Drosophila melanogaster: one gene and its partners. The protein of the gene in region 1 purifies or fractionates together with the protein of each later gene. This does not show direct contact. Each region holds a gene or a part of one and is shown in the gene's direction. Other genes may lie near its edges.

The links.
Region 2: the proteins of DCP1 (region 1) and yps purify together in Drosophila melanogaster (affinity purification with western blotting, with the first as the bait; one study listed by BioGRID). This does not show direct contact.
Region 3: the proteins of DCP1 (region 1) and Edc3 purify together in Drosophila melanogaster (affinity purification with western blotting; 3 studies listed by BioGRID). This does not show direct contact.

What each region holds. Positions count from the first base shown.
Region 1 is NT_033778.4:23,888,665-23,892,418, reverse strand, and holds DCP1 (decapping protein 1), read left to right. Parts: upstream 1-2,142; 5' UTR 2,143-2,226; coding exon 2,227-3,345; 3' UTR 3,346-3,655; downstream 3,656-3,754. Other genes in the region: DNAlig1 (DNA ligase 1), read right to left, coding at 1-592, 648-1,280, 1,341-1,631, 1,687-1,749, 1,807-1,823; CG5597 (uncharacterized protein), read right to left, coding at 3,674-3,754.
Region 2 is NT_037436.4:12,123,529-12,127,282, reverse strand, and holds the start of yps (ypsilon schachtel), read left to right. Parts: upstream 1-2,132; 5' UTR 2,133-2,396; coding exon 2,397-2,571; intron 2,572-3,708; coding exon 3,709-3,754. Other genes in the region: Ir68b (ionotropic receptor 68b), read left to right, coding at 1-1,796.
Region 3 is NT_037436.4:17,528,160-17,531,913, reverse strand, and holds the start of Edc3 (enhancer of decapping 3), read left to right. Parts: upstream 1-2,052; 5' UTR 2,053-2,445; coding exon 2,446-3,005; intron 3,006-3,073; exon of another isoform or gene 3,074-3,214; intron 3,215-3,293; coding exon 3,294-3,754. Other genes in the region: Nedd4, read right to left, coding at 879-1,067. UniProt on the Drosophila melanogaster protein: In the process of mRNA degradation, may play a role in mRNA decapping.

The sequences.
Region 1 (3,754 bases):
GTCTATGTCATTGGTGTCCAGAGCAGTGGCGAACTTCCACTCGCCCTCGACCTCTTGAAAGTGCTCCAACAGGAGCTTGCGACGCTCCGACAGGTTTTTGGTCACCAGAGCAGTGCCATTGATGTACAGCAGATCGAAGATGTAGACACAGACTTGGACCTTGATTTCCTCGATATCAACGTTCTTCCGTTTGCGCGTGCTGAGCACCTGAAACGGCAGAATCTGCTTGCGCTCCACATCCCAGGCCACAATTTCGCTGTCTATGATGTAGGACTTTACGTCGCCCTTGAGCAAGGCAGTGCTCCTGGCAATCAAATCCGGATATTTTGCCGTGTTGTTCTCGGAGTTGCGCGAGAATATGCTGATCTCCCCCTTCTCGTTGCGGTGGATTTGGGCCCGCTCTCCATCGTATTTCCACTCGCAGGTGATTTGCATGCCGCCGAATCTCTCAAATACCTCATGGACCCCCTTGGTGGGCTGGGCGAGCATGGGCCTCAGCGGCATGCCGGGATGCATGGGGCAGCGTTCCTGCAGCTCCTTAATATCGTACTTTAGAATGGCCGGTATAATGATATCGTAGTTGGGACACTGACTGCAAAAGTTCGTTAGCATCTGAATTATTAGCTGGTTCTTAAGTTAGTTCTTACCAGTATGCAGTTTTCAACAGCAAAGTGGTGTCGACTATTTCATCCTTATACACATCCGGCACCTTGCTAGCCTTGCAATCATCGATGTGGTTCTTTTTCACCAAACCAATGGCCAGCGCTGTGAGCAAACTCTGCTCTGCAATGCCAATTCTTAGCTTGCCAATCAATGAACGGATAAAGAAGCGAGCCTCCGACGATCGACAGGCCACAAACATATTGTACACCAGGTCCATTTTCGACTGACCGGATAGCTTGGCTATTTCGCGTAGCTTCCGGAACACATCCCTCACATTCAGAGGCGCTGGCTGGAACATCATGCGCTGTGAAACGCGCGACTGCTCGGCCACGATGCCCAGATCCCCGGTTAGCTGCGTCTGCGATTTAATGTGAGCCAAATTACGCCCCGTTGCCTTGCAAATGGCCTTCATCAAGGTGGTCTCGGCAACGCCCAGCTCCAGTCCCTCGTAGGCGGGCGCCAGTTGGTTGATGCTGAGGTAGACGCTGGGCACAAGATCCTCCGGACTGACCAGCATCACAGAGCAGAAGAAGTTGCTCAGCGTGTCGATCATCTTGAGCCGGCCTTTGGTCTCCTCGATTACTTGAAATGTGCGGGCCAGTGCCAAGTAGGGAGTGCTGGAAAGTGTTTCCTTTGATATAATTCGCCTTGGAGGCTCAAAATCCTGCACTACTTACACCTTTTTGTCCTTCCAGTAGGCATTCTTGAGCGGATGATAGGAGTCGGCGGATGGATCGTAGTTTTCCACATCCTCCTTAGTAGCGGCAGTGGAGTTGAGACCTATGGTTGTGACCTTCTTGTCAGTGGTCTTGTCATCGACTTCCTTTGGTTCCTTCTTAACATTTTTCACCGGACTTGTCTTCTCCTCGGAATCCACAGACATAGGTTCTACCTTGGGCTTAGTTTCCGGGGAGGCACTTTCGCTCTTGATGTGGGGTTCATCTGGGAGTTCGGTCTTCGCATCAATCCTATGATTTGTCGAGGAATTTAGTAATGAAACAAGAAAACAGCGGCACCATTTACTTAGGAACTTTCTTGGGCGGCGAGGGGCTGTCGGTGGCATCGGATTTCTTCTTGAAGAAGGAGCTGAAACGGGGGATTGTTAGATTGGCAATACTTAGCATTTGTTAAATCGTAAATTACGTTATAGACTTTTGCATTTTGTGGCAATTCTGTGTTCAAATAAATACAAATTGCAATGCAATTAGTTCCCGCCAGTTTCTAGAGCTGGTCTTCAGTATCGATATATTGAAATGGAAATGCTATCGAAGTTGAAAATTTTATTAGTAAACATAAATTAAATGTTTATGCTACATAATTGAGAAATATTATTACGTACAATTGTGGCCATTTTTATATGCAAGTCAATCGACTTAATATTTCTCAAACAAATCATTAATAGACAAAAGGAAGAGTTTATTGTCATTCGGTGTGACCGCAGCACAGTCGTTGATAAACACGGGAAAACATCCACGGGGCAGTGTGACCAGAGCGCCGTTAAATTCACAAATAATTGCAATTCGCAATAGCACAGCCAAAACTGAAGATTACATACAATTTACAATGGCCGACGAGAGCATCACGCGAATGAACCTGGCGGCCATCAAGAAGATCGACCCGTACGCCAAGGAGATCGTGGATTCGTCCTCGCACGTCGCCTTCTACACGTTCAACTCGTCGCAGAACGAGTGGGAAAAGACCGATGTGGAGGGAGCCTTCTTCATATACCACCGCAACGCGGAGCCCTTTCACAGCATCTTCATCAACAACCGACTGAACACCACGTCCTTCGTGGAGCCCATCACCGGCAGCCTGGAGCTGCAGTCGCAGCCGCCGTTCCTGCTCTACCGCAACGAGCGCTCGCGCATCCGCGGCTTCTGGTTCTACAACAGCGAGGAGTGCGACCGCATCAGCGGCTTGGTGAACGGGCTGCTCAAGTCCAAGGATCAGGGAACGAATGGCCAGGCCCAGCGTCACGTCTCCGCGCCCCAGCAGCCAAAGCAGGACAGCAGCCAGCCGGCCAGCATATTCAACATGCTGACCAAGGCCCAGAAGGACTACAATGCCCAGGTGAGCGGCGGGCAGCCGAAGACGCCTTCGGCGGAGAACGTAACGGCCGGCAATGTGTTGAAGTTCTTCGAATCGGCCAAGCAGGCCACGGCAGAGTCACTGTTCCACCGCGTCCAGCCGCTCTCCGTGGACCAGCTGGAGAAACAGCAGCGGGCAGCCACGCCTGGCGAGGATCTGTTGCCCCCGGCAGGCAGGGACAATCACGAGAGCCGGCTGTCGCCCTTCCAGAAGATGCAGCAGCTTAACATTCAGCTCCTGAGCGACCTGAAGATCGGTAAAAGCTACGCTACGGCTCAATCTCCGACAGTCGCCCCGTCCTCGTCGGCGCTGATGGCCAACGACGATGCCGGCAAGTGCTTGCGGAGACTGCTGGCTGGCGACAAGCCCGGGCCGGCCCTCATGCCGCCCACCATGTTCGACGCGCCCAACAACGGCAATCCGGAGCCACAGCAGCCACAGCAGCCACAGCAGCCACTGCTGAACTCGACGCAGTTCGTCCAGGCCTTCACGTACCTTATCCAGAACGATAAGGAGTTTGCCAACAAGCTGCACAAGGCCTACCTGAACGGCTGTTCCAATCTACTGCTGGACTCCAGCTCCACATATCAATAAACAGAAATATTCAACATTTCCGAATTGCAGCCCATATTTTCATTTGTTCGCATGGAGTTCGAGTTCAAGCCGAGTTAATTTACAAAATGTAATAGCTGTAAGCCGACAAGGGCAGTCGTAGATTTAAAATCTAGAAGCCCCGCCGGAGAAGGACGGCATCCATTTCCAGAGCAACCTTAAGAGTTAACTAACGTAGTTGGTTTTGTGAAGTATTCGTATTTATTTACAAAATGGTTAACTAGGCCGAAGGGGCGTAGAAAAGGTAGTTGAATGGCAAACAGAATTCAATAAACATTAATTTAGTAACAATAAATAACAACGCTTTTATTTAGGCCAATACCTTCAGCTTGCAGAGCAGGTAGTACAGAAAACAAAACAGCCACAGGCTGAAGTCGACGTGGCTCCTGCC
Region 2 (3,754 bases), on another chromosome or scaffold:
ACCGCTGTGCCAGCTGCCCGGCATCCTTCGATGCGGATTACTCTGCCTTGGAATTGGATCTCTATCGGTGTGTGGGCAGTAGACTGCCCGTAATCACACGGAACATGGAAGCACATGAGCTGGAACCATTTAGACGAACGGACAGCCTAAGCATCTTTCAAATTCCGGCTGCCGAAAAGGGTGATTCCTTGGTACGCCGCATCCTGGACATGTTGAATCCTCACCAGAGGCGCAAGCATATGCACAAGTATCTGTTTGTTTGGCCAAATGCCGGAAGGCATCAGTTACTGCGACTTTTTCGCGGCAGTTGGGCCAAGAAGCTGCTCTACGGATTGGCCATTACCGGCAGGGAAAATGGCACCTTTGACTTTGATCCCTTTGCTTGGGGTGGTCTCCAAGTGATTCAGCGGCTGGATGGCGAAGTGCCGTACGCAAGAAAGGTGAAGGACTTGCGCGGCTACCCATTGCGTTTCTCCATGTTTACGGATCCGTTGATGGCGATGCCCAGGAGTCCTGTGGAGACAGCTGGCTATCAGGCAGTGGATGGAGTGGCGGCCCGAGTTGTTGGCGAGATGTTGAATGCCTCAGTAACATATGTCTTCCCGGAGGATAACGAATCCTACGGTCGTTGCCTTCCGAATGGAAACTACACCGGCGTGGTCAGCGACATAGTCGGTGGTCACACCCACTTTGCACCCAATTCCCGCTTCGTGCTCGACTGCATTTGGCCAGCGGTTGAGGTGCTGTATCCCTATACCCGTCGCAACCTGCACCTGGTCGTGCCCGCCTCCGCAATCCAGCCGGAGTACCTGATCTTCGTGCGTGTCTTTCGGCGAACTGTGTGGTACTTGCTCTTGGTCACCCTTTTGGTTGTGGTGCTGGTCTTCTGGGTGATGCAACGTCTGCAGCGAAGAATTCCCCGTCGCGGAGTCATCCAGTTTCAGGCAACGTGGTATGAGATTCTCGAGATGTTCGGCAAGACACATGTGGGTGAACCGGCGGGCAGGCTATCCTCCTTCAGCTCGATGAGAACGTTCCTCATGGGTTGGATCCTCTTCAGCTACGTCCTGTCCACCATCTACTTTGCCAAACTGGAGTCCGGATTTGTGCGACCAAGCTACGAGGAGCAGGTGGACCGAGTGGACGATTTGGTACATTTGGATGTGCACATTTATGCGGTGACCACGATGTATGACGCAGTTAGGAGCGCCCTGACGGAGCACCAATACGGTCTGCTGGAGAACCGTAGTCGCCAGCTGCCACTGGGAATAGCCACATCCTATTACCAGCCGGTGGTCCGGCGCAGGGATCGACGAGCGGCCTTTATCATGCGGGATTTTCACGCCCGTGACTTTCTGGCCATCACCTATGACTCGCAGGCAGAGCGACCAGCCTACCACATCGCCCGGGAATATCTGCGCTCTATGATATGCACCTACATCCTACCAAGAGGATCGCCCTTTCTGCACCGCTTGGAATCTCTGTACAGTGGCTTCCTCGAGCACGGCTTCTTTGAGCACTGGCGTCAAATGGATCTGATCACCCGGGTTGGTGCGTCGCCGGATGCTGAGGAGTTTCTCGAGGATCTGGGCGACCAGACGGACACGGATTCCGGCTCCAACGAGTTGGCGATTCGTAACAAAAAGGTGGTTCTCACTCTGGACATCCTGCAGGGCGCCTTCTATCTCTGGTCCGTGGGGATTGGCATAAGCTGCTTGGGATTTGCAGTGGAGCACGCTCATTGGTTTTGGCGGAGACAGACACTTCGGAATGCGGTTGAAGCTAGAACAAGCTAACTAAAAATATTAAAAATTACTAAATAAAAGGTACATATATGTTTGTTATTGTAAATACTATACTAAGTTTTCAATAAATTTCACCGCTGTTTAGTTGGACATGTTGTTTTATACATTTTAATGATAAAACTGTAGTTTTATATTATTCTAACCATTTAATGAATTTAACCATTTATTCCAATTAACCTTTCTTGTAAATTTAAATGTAACGGCTTTTTATGTTGTTATGGCTTAACATTCCGCGCGTAACAGCACACTGGAGACCCCCAGTATCAGAGCATCGATAGCACCCATCGATAGTCCGATCACCAGCAACCCTGCCTCCGGCTGTCATGTTTCACTTCCGGAGCTTGCGAACAAAATAGAATCGCTAAGGCAAAGAAAACCCTGCGAGTGGCGAGTGTTTTAAGATCACACTCAAAAACAACATCCAAAGTGGTTAGTGGCAGTTGAGAGAGTGCCCAAGACCCCGAATACCAGCCGGGCAGACACGAACAACACCAGCAGCAGCAGCACCACCATCATCAACAGCAGCAGCAGCATTTCCCGCTTTTCGTTTTCGTCGTCGCCGAACAACAAATAACAAAACCACGACAAACGATGGCTGATGCCGCGGAGAGTAAGCCACTGGCCGCCGAACAGCAGCAGGCGCAGCAGCAGCCGGAGCAGCAGCAGAATCCGCCGAATCCGCAGGAGCAGGATCACGAGCAGGAGCCGCTGGACGAGCTGCAGGGACAGCAGGGCCAGCCCGCTCCGCCCACCAAGGAAGTCATCGGTAAGGCTGAAACTCGCATGTTAAACCCAATTCCCAACCAATTTCATTCATGTGCCGCGAACACATGGCGGCTGCTACCAAAATAGCAATGAAAAAAAGGAGGAAAAAAGAACAAGAAACATGCCTCCCTGTATGCGTGTGTGTGTGTGTGTTTTGAGTCTTAAAATATACGCGCGTCGGCCATTTTGTGCGGCCAAAGGCAACGCAACGCATGTATATATGTATGTGCACGAACGCTCGCGCCGCCGGCTAACCAAATTGAAAATTCTGCCTTTTGCCGGTCGTCTGTCTTTCCACCCACCCAACCACCAACCCCACCCGCTTCGCCTCTTTAAAAAATGCCCCCCCATAGGTGTACACACACACACACATACACACATGCAGAGCGAGCCAGGGCAACCCAATTTGTTAATGCGCGCGCAGCGGGAGTGCGAACGAGAGGGCAGACAGCCGGGTGTGGATGTGTGTGTTCATTGTTTTGGTACATCTATTTGCACACACACACTAAAACGCATGGAAGCATGGCTATAAGGCGATTTCAAAACACGAGACCATAATGCAACCAATAAGATACAATAATATTCGGCGACTATTACAATATATTGCCAAATAATTTGGGATGCCACTATATTTTCGCGTAAATCAACATATTATATGCATACTTATATGGTTTATTCGAAATTTTGGTAACCATAGTTTTAAATAATTGTTAACCAATAATTTGTGGTTATAAAACGTCTTTCAATGTTATTGCACGCTTCAATGAGTTTTCAAACTGCGTATTAGTTTAGTTTCAGATGTATTGCGTTTTGCCCCTCCTTTATAATAAAAAAAAAATGCAAAGTATTATCTCAAAACTACCCCTTTTGTATAATTTAAGTTTCTTATGTAGAATTATTTGTATTTTAGAAGTCAGCTCGCTGTGCATCCCTACTGTTCCCTAATATTTTTGTTGCATGTATAATGTTTAAAGGATTATAATATTTGATAAAGGAATGATTGCAACTGATCCCAAACAAGTATTATACCATTGAAATCAATTAAATGATCACACGTTTGTAGAATAAGTACCGCCAAAAATATTGAATCCCACTATTATCCCCAATTGTTTATAATTTCTACTCTTTCCCATTGCAGCCACCAAAGTCACCGGCACCGTCAAGTGGTTCAACGTGAAGAGCGG
Region 3 (3,754 bases), on another chromosome or scaffold:
TAAAATGTAATGTGCTGTATTAAAGGCCCTCCTAAAAAAAGACTTATGGAAGTCACTCCTGAAATACAACTACATCTAACTTAATGGTTGACGAAATGCAACGACCTTTACACCGTAAAAGCTAGGTATTGGATAAGAACAGTTCGTAAGTTTTTCGTGCTTTTCGGCTTCTGAAGGAATTGTAGATCCCCTACTTTTCCCACCATACATATATCCCACTTTATCATCCATGAGGGGAGTGAAATCTACATGGCCCATCTACACGACTCAGCTGTTTGGCAATCTGCAGATTAGATTAGTAGTGAAAACATCGTAAAAATGGAAACACTAAATACAGCGGAGGCACTGATAAGGGCGACCAAATCCCCCAGCACCACCCGTTGATAAATACTTTTCAAATCTTCACACCAACAAAATGGTGGATACATTGTGGGCAATTCCTTATAAAAGGTTATAGGAATTGGTTGGCTTAGTTTTGATAAGACAACATTTCGGTATGCCCTTTAAAATGAGATACATTTATTGATTAGTCAGTTTGCAACGAAACCAAAACAATTGATAAGAGTATCTTATAAGATGTCATAGTAAGTAATACCTTACTATCTATTAAAAATTGATAAACATATAGGTGCCACGGTCACTATTTGGTGTTATGATAACTTAATTTGATACATACGCGTTTATATAACCCATAATTAGTTAACTGGCTTTATCAAAAATGGAATGAAATTTTTCAATCAGAGTTGGATGCGTTGTGAAATAAGGTTGTAACCATAAGGTGCTCCTACAAAATTCCTAAGATGTTAGAAGAGTTCCTAAGTTGTCCTTCAAGGTAAAGCTCTCTCTTTTCGTCGTCACCTGCACTTATGTAAACTTACCACTGCTGCCAACGATCTGCGAGGAGTGTAACCATTTCCAAATTCCTGGCGCGTTTGCTGTTGTCCCGCAACAGAGGCCGCTCGCCGGCGGGGCGGCGGGCGTGGCACGTCGCCGCCGGCCACCGAGGAAGAAGACGACGGGACGGGAAGGGCCGCCGCGGCCACCAAGCCGCTGGAACGTGCCGACATTGTTGTGTTGTTGTTGTTTGTTTCTTTTAGAGAAGCTTCTGCAATGAAAGAATGACGGAAGGAGAGAGGGTGAATATGTGCAAAGCGGAAGTGCAAATTAAGCGATAAATGACACGAAGAAGAAGAAGAGGAGGCTGCCATAAGGTAACAAGAGGGGGAAGGGTGTACAGAAGCGAAGGAAAGAAAAGCGAACAGACAACAAAGACAGCAAACAAAGTGAACAACGGTACTTGTGCTAGATGCCATCTCTGTCTGCCGCCCTGCCCCCGTGCAAGCGTGTTTCTAGTGTGTGTGTTGTGTGAATGAGGTGTGGGTGATAGAGCACAAAAGCCAAACATTTTCTTGATAATTAGCCAGGCGCGAAGCCATGTCTTTGTAGACCATTTATGGTTAGCATAAAGTTTCGCCCAAGTTTTCCACTTACGTTTACACACGCACAAACACGGGCCACTATATTTTCGCCCGATTTATGTATATATTTTGCGGTGGTATGCGTGTGGGCTCGCCTTTATCCACTATTTGCGGAAAATCATCACGTACTTCTATCACACGGCAAATTCTACACTGCTCACTATTCAAGCGATTATCACTTTGACCGCTTCGGCGGCGCACATGCCTTAATCGCCGATATCGGTCGGCTATAGGTGCCTGTATATATGTCGCACGCGCAGTATTAAATAAAATTTAAACACCGGACGGGAAAAATGCACAAAACGGCGACAAAATCGAGAACAAAACTGCCAGAGTGACCGTGTACGCGCACTGAGAACATACCACAGCACCCAGAAGCCTTAACAGTTAAGGGAAGCACTTGTTAAATTCATAAAATGGCTCGCAGGCTTTTATTGAACCAAATATTTATCAAAATAAGGTGAAGTTTCCGTAAAGCATGAAATTTGTAGTTATTATAAATATGTATATTATTATAAATTTATTAAGTAAACTAATTTGCCACGCAGCTAGTTTGGGTATTGTTCGGTATTATCTGAACACCAACGAACGGCCACACGCAAGCAGTGAAAATCCCAATGAAACGAGAAATCCAATAAGTTTTAGCGTCAATGTGTTGCAACGGTTGGTGCATTTATTGATTAAAAGAGACAAAATACCGAACCCCTTGACCGCAGAGCCAAATAATTCAAAAACACCCGACTTTAAGCCACAAAACACTAGAATCAACGGCGGTGCAGCAGCAGGAAGAAGAGGAAGAGAGGTGCGTGGTGCGTAGTTAGTTAGTGGCGAAATTGCGTATTAGAAACGAAAACAACAAGCAGCTCTGCGCGGGCCAGCAAACATTTCGAACAACCATTAGCCAGGGCAGAACAAGCCGATCCAACGTGTTGTCGCATTCGCAAAGGGAGTATCGAAAACTGATTACATGGGTCCGACGGATCAAGACTGGATCGGCTGTGCAGTGTCTATAGCCTGCGACGAGGTCCTGGGCGTCTTCCAGGGCCTGATCAAGCAGATTTCTGCCGAGGAGATCACCATTGTGAGGGCTTTCCGCAATGGCGTGCCGCTGCGAAAGCAGAACGCCGAGGTGGTCCTCAAGTGCACGGACATTCGCAGCATCGATCTCATCGAGCCCGCAAAGCAAGATCTGGATGGGCACACGGCGCCGCCGCCAGTGGTCAACAAGCCCACGCCCGTCAAGCTGCCCCACTTCTCCAACATCCTGGGCAAGCAGCAGCAGCTCCAACTCCAGCAGCAGCAGCAGCAGCTACAACTCCAGCAGCAACAGAAACAGCAGTTCCAGGAGCAGGAACGAGAACAGGATCTGCCATCGACGCCGCGGTCAAGGGCCAACGACAATGGACGGGTAGCGGCTGGCGGAGCATCGAGTTCTTCGGGCCCACGTGGCAACTTCAATTCGGCGCTAAGCGATAAGATGCATCAGCTGAAGCTAATCGAGACCAACGGCTCAAATGGCACCCTTAGGTAATATGGCCCATTAAACGATTGTGCAATGCCAATAATTTAAATTAATTGTTAGCTCTTTATAAAAAAAAAAAGTATGAAGATTTTTGCAGTCAGCACGATTGTGTTTATTTCATTTCATTTTGAAGCCATCTTTATGTTTAAACTTACCAACCTTGAGATACGAAATGAGTAAATTACCTTTATTACTGATAAAAAGCAACAGTCGTTTCAGATAGGTCTTGTGCCAACTGAGCGTCGTATTTAAAATAGGTTTCATCTAACTTTTATATTTGTTTCGTCATCCAGAACACCACAAACATCCCGTGCGTCCAGCGCTCAGCAGCAGCCGCAGATATCAACGACTCCCAACAGCGTGGCCGCCTTTTTTGGCAACATGATACCGCCGAAGGTCGAGGTGAAACTGGGCTCCTACGTGAGCAACACCCGGGAGAGTTACTGCAGCAGCAGCGGAGATAGCGGCGAGGCAACTGGTTTGTCGTTGGGCAGCAGCAAACCCATAGATATCGTCAGCAACGGAGATGGATTTTACAAGCAGACGGCAGCCTCGAGCTATGGGAATACAAATGGAAATGTAAGAAGGAATGGCAATGCCAATAACAATGGAAATGGCACCGGAAATGGTTCTTATACCAATGGAAATGGCAACGGCAACGGGAAGAACAAGCGGAACAGGGTGCGAAGGGAGAGCAGCATGCGGCAGCAACAGGTGCAACTGACTTTTGGCAGCGAGGCGGACGATCCGCTGA